Callithrix jacchus: one gene and its partner. Each later gene encodes a partner of the first gene's protein in a complex. Links are inferred from orthologs where the notes say so. Each region holds a gene or a part of one and is shown in the gene's direction. Other genes may lie near its edges.

Evidence for each region.
Region 2: the proteins of KIDINS220 (region 1) and XPR1 are in contact, whole or in part, in a cryo-EM structure (PDB 9JXQ), measured with the Homo sapiens proteins. The link is inferred for Callithrix jacchus from reciprocal best matches to the Homo sapiens genes KIDINS220 and XPR1. Residues at the interface, in NP_065789.1 of Homo sapiens: Glu36, Cys37, Gln39, Asp70, Trp72, Met102, Trp105, Trp110, Tyr113, Lys114, Val138, Ile142, Trp143, Gly146, Arg147, Ser166, Asp167, Lys168, Tyr169, Gly170, Trp176, Arg179, Lys180, Gln198, Glu199, Gly200, Ala201, Ser203, Lys234, Arg267; in NP_004727.2 of Homo sapiens: Leu95, Lys189, Lys190, Gln193, Glu197, Ala200, Asn204, Glu205, Ala636, Asp637, Asp638, Leu641, Leu642, Gln644, Met645, Met646, Asp647, Gln648, Asp649, Asp650, Val652, Arg653, Asn654, Arg655.

Annotation. Positions count from the first base shown.
Region 1 is NC_133515.1:106,105,973-106,110,556, forward strand, and holds the start of KIDINS220 (kinase D-interacting substrate of 220 kDa), read left to right. Parts: upstream 1-1,772; 5' UTR 1,773-1,917; intron 1,918-4,584. UniProt on the Homo sapiens protein: Promotes a prolonged MAP-kinase signaling by neurotrophins through activation of a Rap1-dependent mechanism. Provides a docking site for the CRKL-C3G complex, resulting in Rap1-dependent sustained ERK activation.
Region 2 is NC_133519.1:22,601,698-22,605,508, reverse strand, and holds part of XPR1 (solute carrier family 53 member 1), read left to right. Parts: intron 1-1,993; coding exon 1,994-2,165; intron 2,166-3,592; coding exon 3,593-3,787; intron 3,788-3,811. UniProt on the Homo sapiens protein: Inorganic ion transporter that mediates phosphate ion export across plasma membrane.

The DNA of each region.
Region 1 (4,584 bases):
TTAAATAAGGCACACTTAACCTGTTTCCTTGTCCTCTACTCTAAGGTTGACTTCATCCTTATATCCTACTGACAGGGTTTGGCTCTGTGTCCCCACCCAAATCTCATCTCGACTTGTATTCCCCATAATCCCCTTGTGTCAAGGGAGGCACTTGGTGGGTGGTGATTGGATCATGGCATCGGTTTCCCCGTGCTGTTCTTGTGATAGTGAGTGAATTCTCATGAGATCTGTTAGATGTATAAGGGGCTTTTCTCCCTTTTGCTCTGCACTTCTCTTCCTGCAGCCATGTAAAGAATGATATATTTGCTTCCCTTTCTGCTATGATTGTAAGTTTCCTGAGACTTCCCCTGCCATGCAGAACTATGAGTCAATTATACTGCTTTTCTTTATAAATTTCCCTGTCTCAGGCAGTTCTTTATAGCAGTGTGAAAACAGACTAATACACCTACCACACTTCCAACCCCCCACCCCTGACCCATCCTCCCATGTTTACAACAGTGGCTGGCCTTAGCAAGCCGTTATTGAAGAACTCACACCATTTAGGACTTCACTGTACCCGGTGAGGTATTCACTCCTTGTTTCATGAGGAACACACCAACTTCTTTTTTTTTTTTAGACAGGGTCTCTGTTGCCCCGGCTGGAGTGCAGTGGTGTGATCTCAGCTCACTGCAGCTTTGAACTCCTGGGCTCAAGAGATCCTCTCACCTCTGCTTCCTAAGTAGCTGGGACTACAGGTGTGCAGCACCACACCCGGCTAAGTTTTGTATTTTGTGTGTGTGTGTGTATATATATATATATATATATATATATATATTTTTTTTTTTTTTTTTTTGAGACGGAGTTTCGCTCTTGTTACCAGGCTGGAGTGCAATGGCATGATCTCGGCTCACCGCAACCTCCGCCTCCTGGGTTCAGGCAATTCTCCTGCCTCAGCCTCCCGAGTAGCTGGGATTACAGGCACGTGCCACCATGCCCAGCTAATTTTTGTATTTATAGTAGAGACGGGGTTTCACCATGTTGACCAGGATGGTCTTGATCTCTTGACCTTGTGATCCACCCGCCTCGGCTTCCCAAAGTGCTGGGATTACAGGCGTGAGCCACCGCGCCCGGCTATATATATATTTTAAGAGATGTGGTATCTCCATGTTGTCCAGGTTGTTTTCAAACTCCTGAGCACAAGGCATCCCCCTGTCCTGGCCTCCCAAAGTGCTGGGGTTACAGGTGTAAGACCGTGTACCCAGCCCACACCAACTTCTGATGAAGCCAGGCTCCTTATTGGCTTTTTCCTGAGTTGCCAGGTTGACACATCAGTGGGTGCTTTTCGATGGTTCCCAACCTATGCACGTCGTAATCATCCGTGGATCTTTTAAAAAATCCAGACTGACGCTTGTTGGCAGCAAGGCCTAGGAATGTGGAGGCTGAAGGAGTGAGGGGAGGAGGTGGGAGCCTTGGAAGGCCAGGAATGTAAACCACAGGCTCTGTGGAAGGCGGAGGTCTTACCCGGAAGAAGGCTGCTAAGCAGGCTTTCATGTCTCATGAGTGTGCAGTGTCTTCTGAAGTTATAATTATTTCTCTGAAGAAGCTTGATTGTAATGGCAAATAGAGATCATAAATTAACTGTAATGAGGGTGACATTGACAGAGAAAAACCTTGTCCCGGGTGTCCCTGCCCCACGGCCCCTCCTGCCCCGCCTGCTCTACGCCCCTCCCCTCCACGCCCAGGGAGCGTGGCTACCCGGAGCCCCGCCCCTGCCCCAGGCCACGTGATCTGTCAGTTCGCTGAGAGGGAAGAATATGGCTGCCGGGTGTGGTGAGGGCGACGCGCTTGCAGTCGCTGTCTCTTGCTTTCCCGTCCTCTGACACCGCCTGCAGCCGAGCGGGCCGGTTCCGCCCGAGCTGAGGACCAGGTTGTGAGTCGGTCAGTGTGGAGGCCGGCTCGCGGGGCTTTGCCGCGGATGGGGGGGGAGGCGGGGCCGAGGCCGGGCTGGGGAGCCGGGTGGGTAGGTGGGACAGCCGGGGAGCGCGCGGGAGGGGCGCGCTGTGGCCGCGGGCCTCGGGTAGGGCCTGGCGCGGGCCCGGGACGCTCGGGCCCCGGCTTTCGGGCCGAGTCCGCGTTTGCTCGAGCGCCTGGAAGGTCTTCGGCTTTGGAATCTCAGGTGTTTTGTCTCCTCAGGGACCCGTAGGGTGGGCTGAGGTTAAGGGTGTTGGTAAAATCGTTTTTCTTTTTTCTTTTGCCAGGCAGCCTCTAGTGCATCCACCACCTCGAGAATCCCCCTCAGCTGGTACCGCTAGTCGTTATGGGTTTCTCTTCCTAGGCTTCCCTGGGCCGGGAGGTATTGTTTTCTCCCTCGCGGTCATCGTGGACTCCATTGCTCCATTGTCCTGTGCAGGCTTTTAAACGCCTTGACAACATGGTGCAAGCCATTGATTTCCGTGCTTTCAAGATTTATTTATAGGACAGTCGTTTCTTCACTCTGTAATCTTGGAATTTTTATTCTTTCAAGTCGGTAGGTTTAAACAGATGAAGATTTTTTTAATTAATAACTATGCAGTCATCTCTGCTCCCTATGGGCACGTGTTAAAAATGTAGATTTCTTAGCGTTTGAGAGATTCTCATTTTTTCGGCTAGAGGTGTGGCTCGGGAATCACCCCTTGAGTTTCATTCCTGTCCACATTTTGACAACACTGAGGACCAGACGTCTACACCGTTTTAAACCACCGTGGGTATTGCGTGCAGAGCCCGGGTTGGGAAATGCTGTGGCCAGGTGTGTTCTTTGTTCTCTTTGGCTCTACTCGCCTGGACTACTTTCATCATAATCATTTTGGGGTGCTTGTTAAAATGTCCGTTTCTGAGCACCGCCCCAAATCTAGGGAATGGGATTCTCTCGGGGAGGAGCTTAAGGGATATGTGTATTTGACAAGCTTCCCTATTAATTCTGATGCACATAAGTTTGAGAATCTTTGTTCTATACCCTTTATGTGAATGATTTCCAGATCTTTCACACACAGTGTGAACCATATATTTTTCCAAGTATTGGGTGGGTTTCTCAACCTAGCTCTTCTGGGGCATTTCAAATTCAGCCTAAGCACCCTATAGCCCCCTTCACCTAGCTGGGGTGGTGGGAGGGGGAGGCATAACTAAAGTAGAGAAAGGTCTCCTGCTCTTTTTTTTAATTTTTTTTGTTAAGGGCCGCTCCATTCTTCAGTCACCTCTGCTGGTCATCTGGTCATCTTCCACCTGTTCTTTCTTTTCCAATCTGTCACATGGTTAGTTTTTATATCCAGAATATCTCTTCTGGATATTTTGGTAGGTCAGAAAGTTTAAATATTGGGGATTTTATATTTTCGAGTTAGTATCTCTCGTTTCTTCTCCATTCCCACTGCCTCTTCTGTGTGCTATTTCGGTGGTTCTTCAGCTGGTATCTAGGGCCCTGATTCTTTGTTTTTCCAGTCTGGGTCACATACACTGCCAGGAGACTTATTTTTATAGGATCATGTATGAATGTGCCATCCCCTTCTTCCTGCTTTTGCTGAAGAACTGTCAGTTTCTCCATTTTATGTGCTACTGTATTAGTCAGGGCTGCTTACAAGTCAAAGAACAGAAACTTAATCTTTTACTTCAAGGAAAAGGAGATTATAGGATTGAACGAGGGTCAGAAGGAAGTCAGGAAGTCGCGGTGGCTCAAGCCTGTAATCCCAGCACTTTGGGAGGCCGAGGCAGGTGGATCACGAGGTCAAGAGATCGAGACCATCCTGGTCACCATTGTGAAACCCCATCTCTACTAAAAATACAAAAAATTTGCTGGGCATGGTGGCACGTGCCTGTAATCCCAGCTACTCGGGAGGCTGAGGCAGGAGAATTACCTGAACCCAGGAGGCAGAGGTTGCGGTGAGCCGAGATCGCGCCATTGCACTCCAGCCTGGGTAACAAGAGCGAAACTCCGTCTCAAAAAAAAAAAAAAGAAGTCAGGATCCCAAGTGGCTCCATTTTCTACATCTCCCTGGGGCAACTTTTTTTTGAGACCGGGTCTGGTAGTGTTGCCCAGGCTGGAGTGCCGTGATGTGATCTTGGTTCACTGCAGCCCTGACCTCCTCCTAGGGGCCATATTTGTTCTCTTAGGCAGAGTCCCTTTTCTGTTCATGTCTGTTGTGTTCTCTCTTTGCGACTGACTGTCTCAGAACTGTATCATTTTATAGGTGACCCATATTCGCTGACTCAGTTTCTGGTTTCTAATTCCCAGTTCTAGAGAGAGAGAAGTCTGATTGGCCCAGCTTATCTTTTTCAACAGTTTAATGCCATGGATCATAATATGCCCATCCCTGGGGATGGCTGATGGTAGAGAACGTGGCCATTGAGGGAACAGGAGCTGTGAGTGGGCAAAGTCCTCCAGAAGAGGCATCTTTAGTAAACCTATGCAGTTACTCAATTTGACAGTTTTCTATTACGTTTCTACTTGATCTAGATTTGTAATAGGTTCTGGGGATATAAGAATGAAGGAGAGAGAAAGCCCTTTGTAAATTAGTTTGAGGCCAGGCATGCTGGCTCACACCTGTAATCTCAGTGTTTTGGGAGGCCAAGGCAGGA
Region 2 (3,811 bases), on another chromosome or scaffold:
TTTCCCCCTGTACAAGATAAAAAGGGATCTGATAGGTTGAGGATTAAGTCTTCCTTCATCCCATGTTCATGCAAGGCTTATCAAGACAATCTGCACTATTTGGGCTTATTTCTGGTATTTGCCTAGGTGCCTACTTCCCTTTGCTGCAACGCCAAGATTTCCCTTTGTAGTGATAAACAGGTTTCCACAAAATAGATTAGGAAGAGTCTGTGTTGGTCTTCTGTAAAATGGGGATATGAATAGTTCCTAGCTCATAGAATTGTTATGAGGATTGAATTAAGGCCTGCATAAGCCTTGAAGAAAATATACTGTTTGAGTTACTGCTTAATACATTTAATACCTTTATCATGTGTTCAGAACAGTCAGAAGAGGGCTGGTTTTTGTTGTGTAATTTGAAGATGAACACAGCCATCACCATGGCATTAGTGAAAAGAAAGTGACTTTAGTTAGAGAATGAGGCATGTCTCATATGGTATACTGTCCTTTCCTTCTTATCCTTTGTAAGCAGAGAAGAACTTTGTATTCAGTTAGCTAAGATGAAGAATAGTCTAGACATTATAGCACTTGCATCTCCAGCAAAGCTTCCTAACTTTAGAGCCTCTCAAAGCTTCTATCTTCTGCTATTCTCTCTGCTTTCAACTTTAACTCTTCCCACCTCTTTGCTTTAGAAATTTTCTTTCTTTTCTTTTCTTTTTTTTTGGAGACTGAGTCTTGCTCTGTTGCCAGACTGGAGTGCAATGACACGATCTCAGCTCACTGCAACCTCCACCTTCTGGGTTCAAGCGATTCTCCTATCTCAGCCTCCCAAGTAGCTGAGACTACAGGCGTGTGCCACCATGCCCAGCCAATTTTCCTATTTTTAATAGAGGCAGGGCTTCACCATGTTTGCCAGGATGGTCTCAATCTCTTGGCCTCGTGATCCGCCCACCTTGGCCTCCCAAAGTGCTGGGATTATAGGCATGAGCCACCGTGCCTGGCTTCTATTTTCTTTCCTTCTTTATTTCTTCTTCTTCTTTTTTTTTTTTTTTGATAACATGGGTGAATTTATTTGTTAAGATGTGAGTGCAAACTTAACTACAAAGACAAACAAAGCTTATCATCAATAATAAACACAGAAGCTAAATAATTCTCCAATCATGCATTTTAACAGAAAGTACAAATATGAATACATTATAATTTGTAACTTCATTTAAAAATTAAGCTATCTGTCCAAATCCAAACCACTACACAGTCTTTAATCTGTTCTCTTTTTCTTACCTTAGAAGCATTTGTCATATGCTATCAGGAAAATAGAGGCAAGAATTACTAATCAGTTCTTTATGATCAAAGAAACATTATTGTCATTAACTGTGGCTTTTTGAATCTTTTATAAATACCACACAGTTATACCTCCACTCTTGAGGAAAAAAAAGATGAATACAGAAATCAAGGAGGTTTGACCGTTCATGGAATTAAAGCAAAGTCACAAGTGTTTGACTTAGAAATGTCCATATTGTAAATTTTTAAAGTACAACTTTAGTTGATAGCTGATGTGTATGTAATAATTGTGAACAGTTTAAACAGGTATAAGAATGTGTGAACAAAATCTTTAGACTCAAATACTTGAAAAGTAGCTATGAGTATGGAAAGATTTGTTTACATAAACGTGTATATTTTTAGATGAAAAATTAGAAGGTAGTGGTATCTCCCTGGTCCCTTAACAGTATTTGGATTTTTGCAAAGAATTAGCAGCACCCATGCTTTCTATGTTATAACTAGTTATTCCTGCTTTTTTTCCTCCTTTACTTCCTTTCTTTGTTACCCATTCAACTCATTCCCCTTCACTGCTAATTCACAACCTAGCCACTGTTGCCAGGTCTCTGTGTTTATGACTGATTTGGTTTCCATTTTATCAACTAAAGCAATCATGCTGAACAGTCAGACATGAAATGGAGAAATTTAATATGACTTTTCTTGTTTCTATGTTTTCTGATTTTTTTTTTTTTTTTCTCAGTTTCGAGTATTTACAGCCCCCTTCCATAAGGTAGGCTTTGCTGATTTCTGGCTGGCCGATCAGCTGAACAGCCTGTCAGTGATACTGATGGACCTGGAATATATGATCTGCTTCTACAGTTTGGAGCTCAAATGGGATGAAAGTAAGGGCCTGTTGCCAAATAATTCAGAAGGTAGGGTATGAATTTGCGTCTATATTACTAAATTACCAGTGTAAACCAAGATAATATTGGGAAGGCTAAATGAGAAAATCAAGGTCATGATGAAACTTATCCAATAATATTACAAACTTAATTAAATGTACTTGGCATTCTGTTAGCAGTCTCTTTATCTGATATAATTTGTCTGTCCATTTGCCAAGAGATGTACAACTTACACTTGAAGAATTCTAAAACTTTTTTTGTTAAGTTCTAGTACATTGGTAGTTATATTGCAAATGCTTTCATGCCAACAATTTGTTGTCACAGTATTGCTATATAATGTAACATAGATACCAGTGATCAAAAATACTGATTATTTAGAAATAAATTAAGTGCCTTGAGAGTAATTACAGATTGGTTTTTAATTCTTAGTTGGGATGCTATTTTTCTTCTAGCTTTTTTCCCCACCCTTAGTTTATGTCAGGAGTTCAAGTTATTAAGGAATTTTGCCTTCATGACAAAGATCTAATTTAGATCGACTGTGTGACATGTGACTAACAAAAGTTAATGATGAAGCCAGTGCTGACACATTTTTATTGATTGCCAGTGGATCACAGCTCTGTTATAGTTCGATCATACTCAATTCTGAATTTCAGAATTCAAAGAAAAATTGATTTACCAACTCCATTCTTACTTAAACACACAGTTTGTTCTTGGTTTAAAAAAGAAGGGGAGGTGGATGTACAAGAGCATGTGCTCTTGGGTGTCTTGTGTTGTTGGTGGTTTGGAATTTACAGAATTGTCTAGAATCACTGGTGATACTTGTAGGTTTTCCAGATGTTTCAAATTACGGAGCCAACCCATTTTTCCCTCCTTCTATTAGCATACTCATCTTCTAATTTTCTTACAGTTTTATCACACTCCGAAGAGACGGATTCAAATTTCCCCACTAGTTCCCCTCAATATGTTTTACCTTCTCTCCTTGACTTATCCACCACTAAAATGCTTGAGAATAAGCTGGGCGCGGTGGCTCACGCCTGTAATCCCAGCACTTTGGGAGGCTGAGGTGGGCGGATCACTTGAGGTCAAGAGTTTGAGATCAGCCTGGCCAACATAGTGAAACCCCATCTCTACTAAAAATACAAAAATTAGCTGGTGTGCTGGTGTGCACCTGTAATCCCAACTACTCCGAAGGCTGAGGCAAGAGAATCACTGGAACCCGGGAGGTGGAGGTTGCAGTGAGCTGAGATTTTTGCCATTGTACTCCAGTCTGGACCACAGAGTGAGACTCAGTCTCAAAAAAAAAAGCTTGAGATGTATAATAGTTGCAAAGAAGAAAGTGATTCTGAAACCTAGGTTTCTTGCTTTTTTAGGCTTGGTAGTGGCTACACTATATGGCTGAGTGATGTGAATGAAGTTATTTTTTTAATTGTAATTTTTCTTCTTTGAAATGTTTACAGAATCAGGAATTTGCCACAAATACACATATGGTGTGCGGGCCATTGTTCAGTGCATTCCTGCTTGGCTTCGCTTCATCCAGTGCCTGCGCCGATATCGAGACACAAAAAGGGCCTTTCCTCATTTAGTTAATGCTGGCAAATACTCCACAACTTTCTTCATGGTGACGTTTGCAGCCCTTTACAGCACTCACAAAGGTATTCTGTGATTGACTATGACGA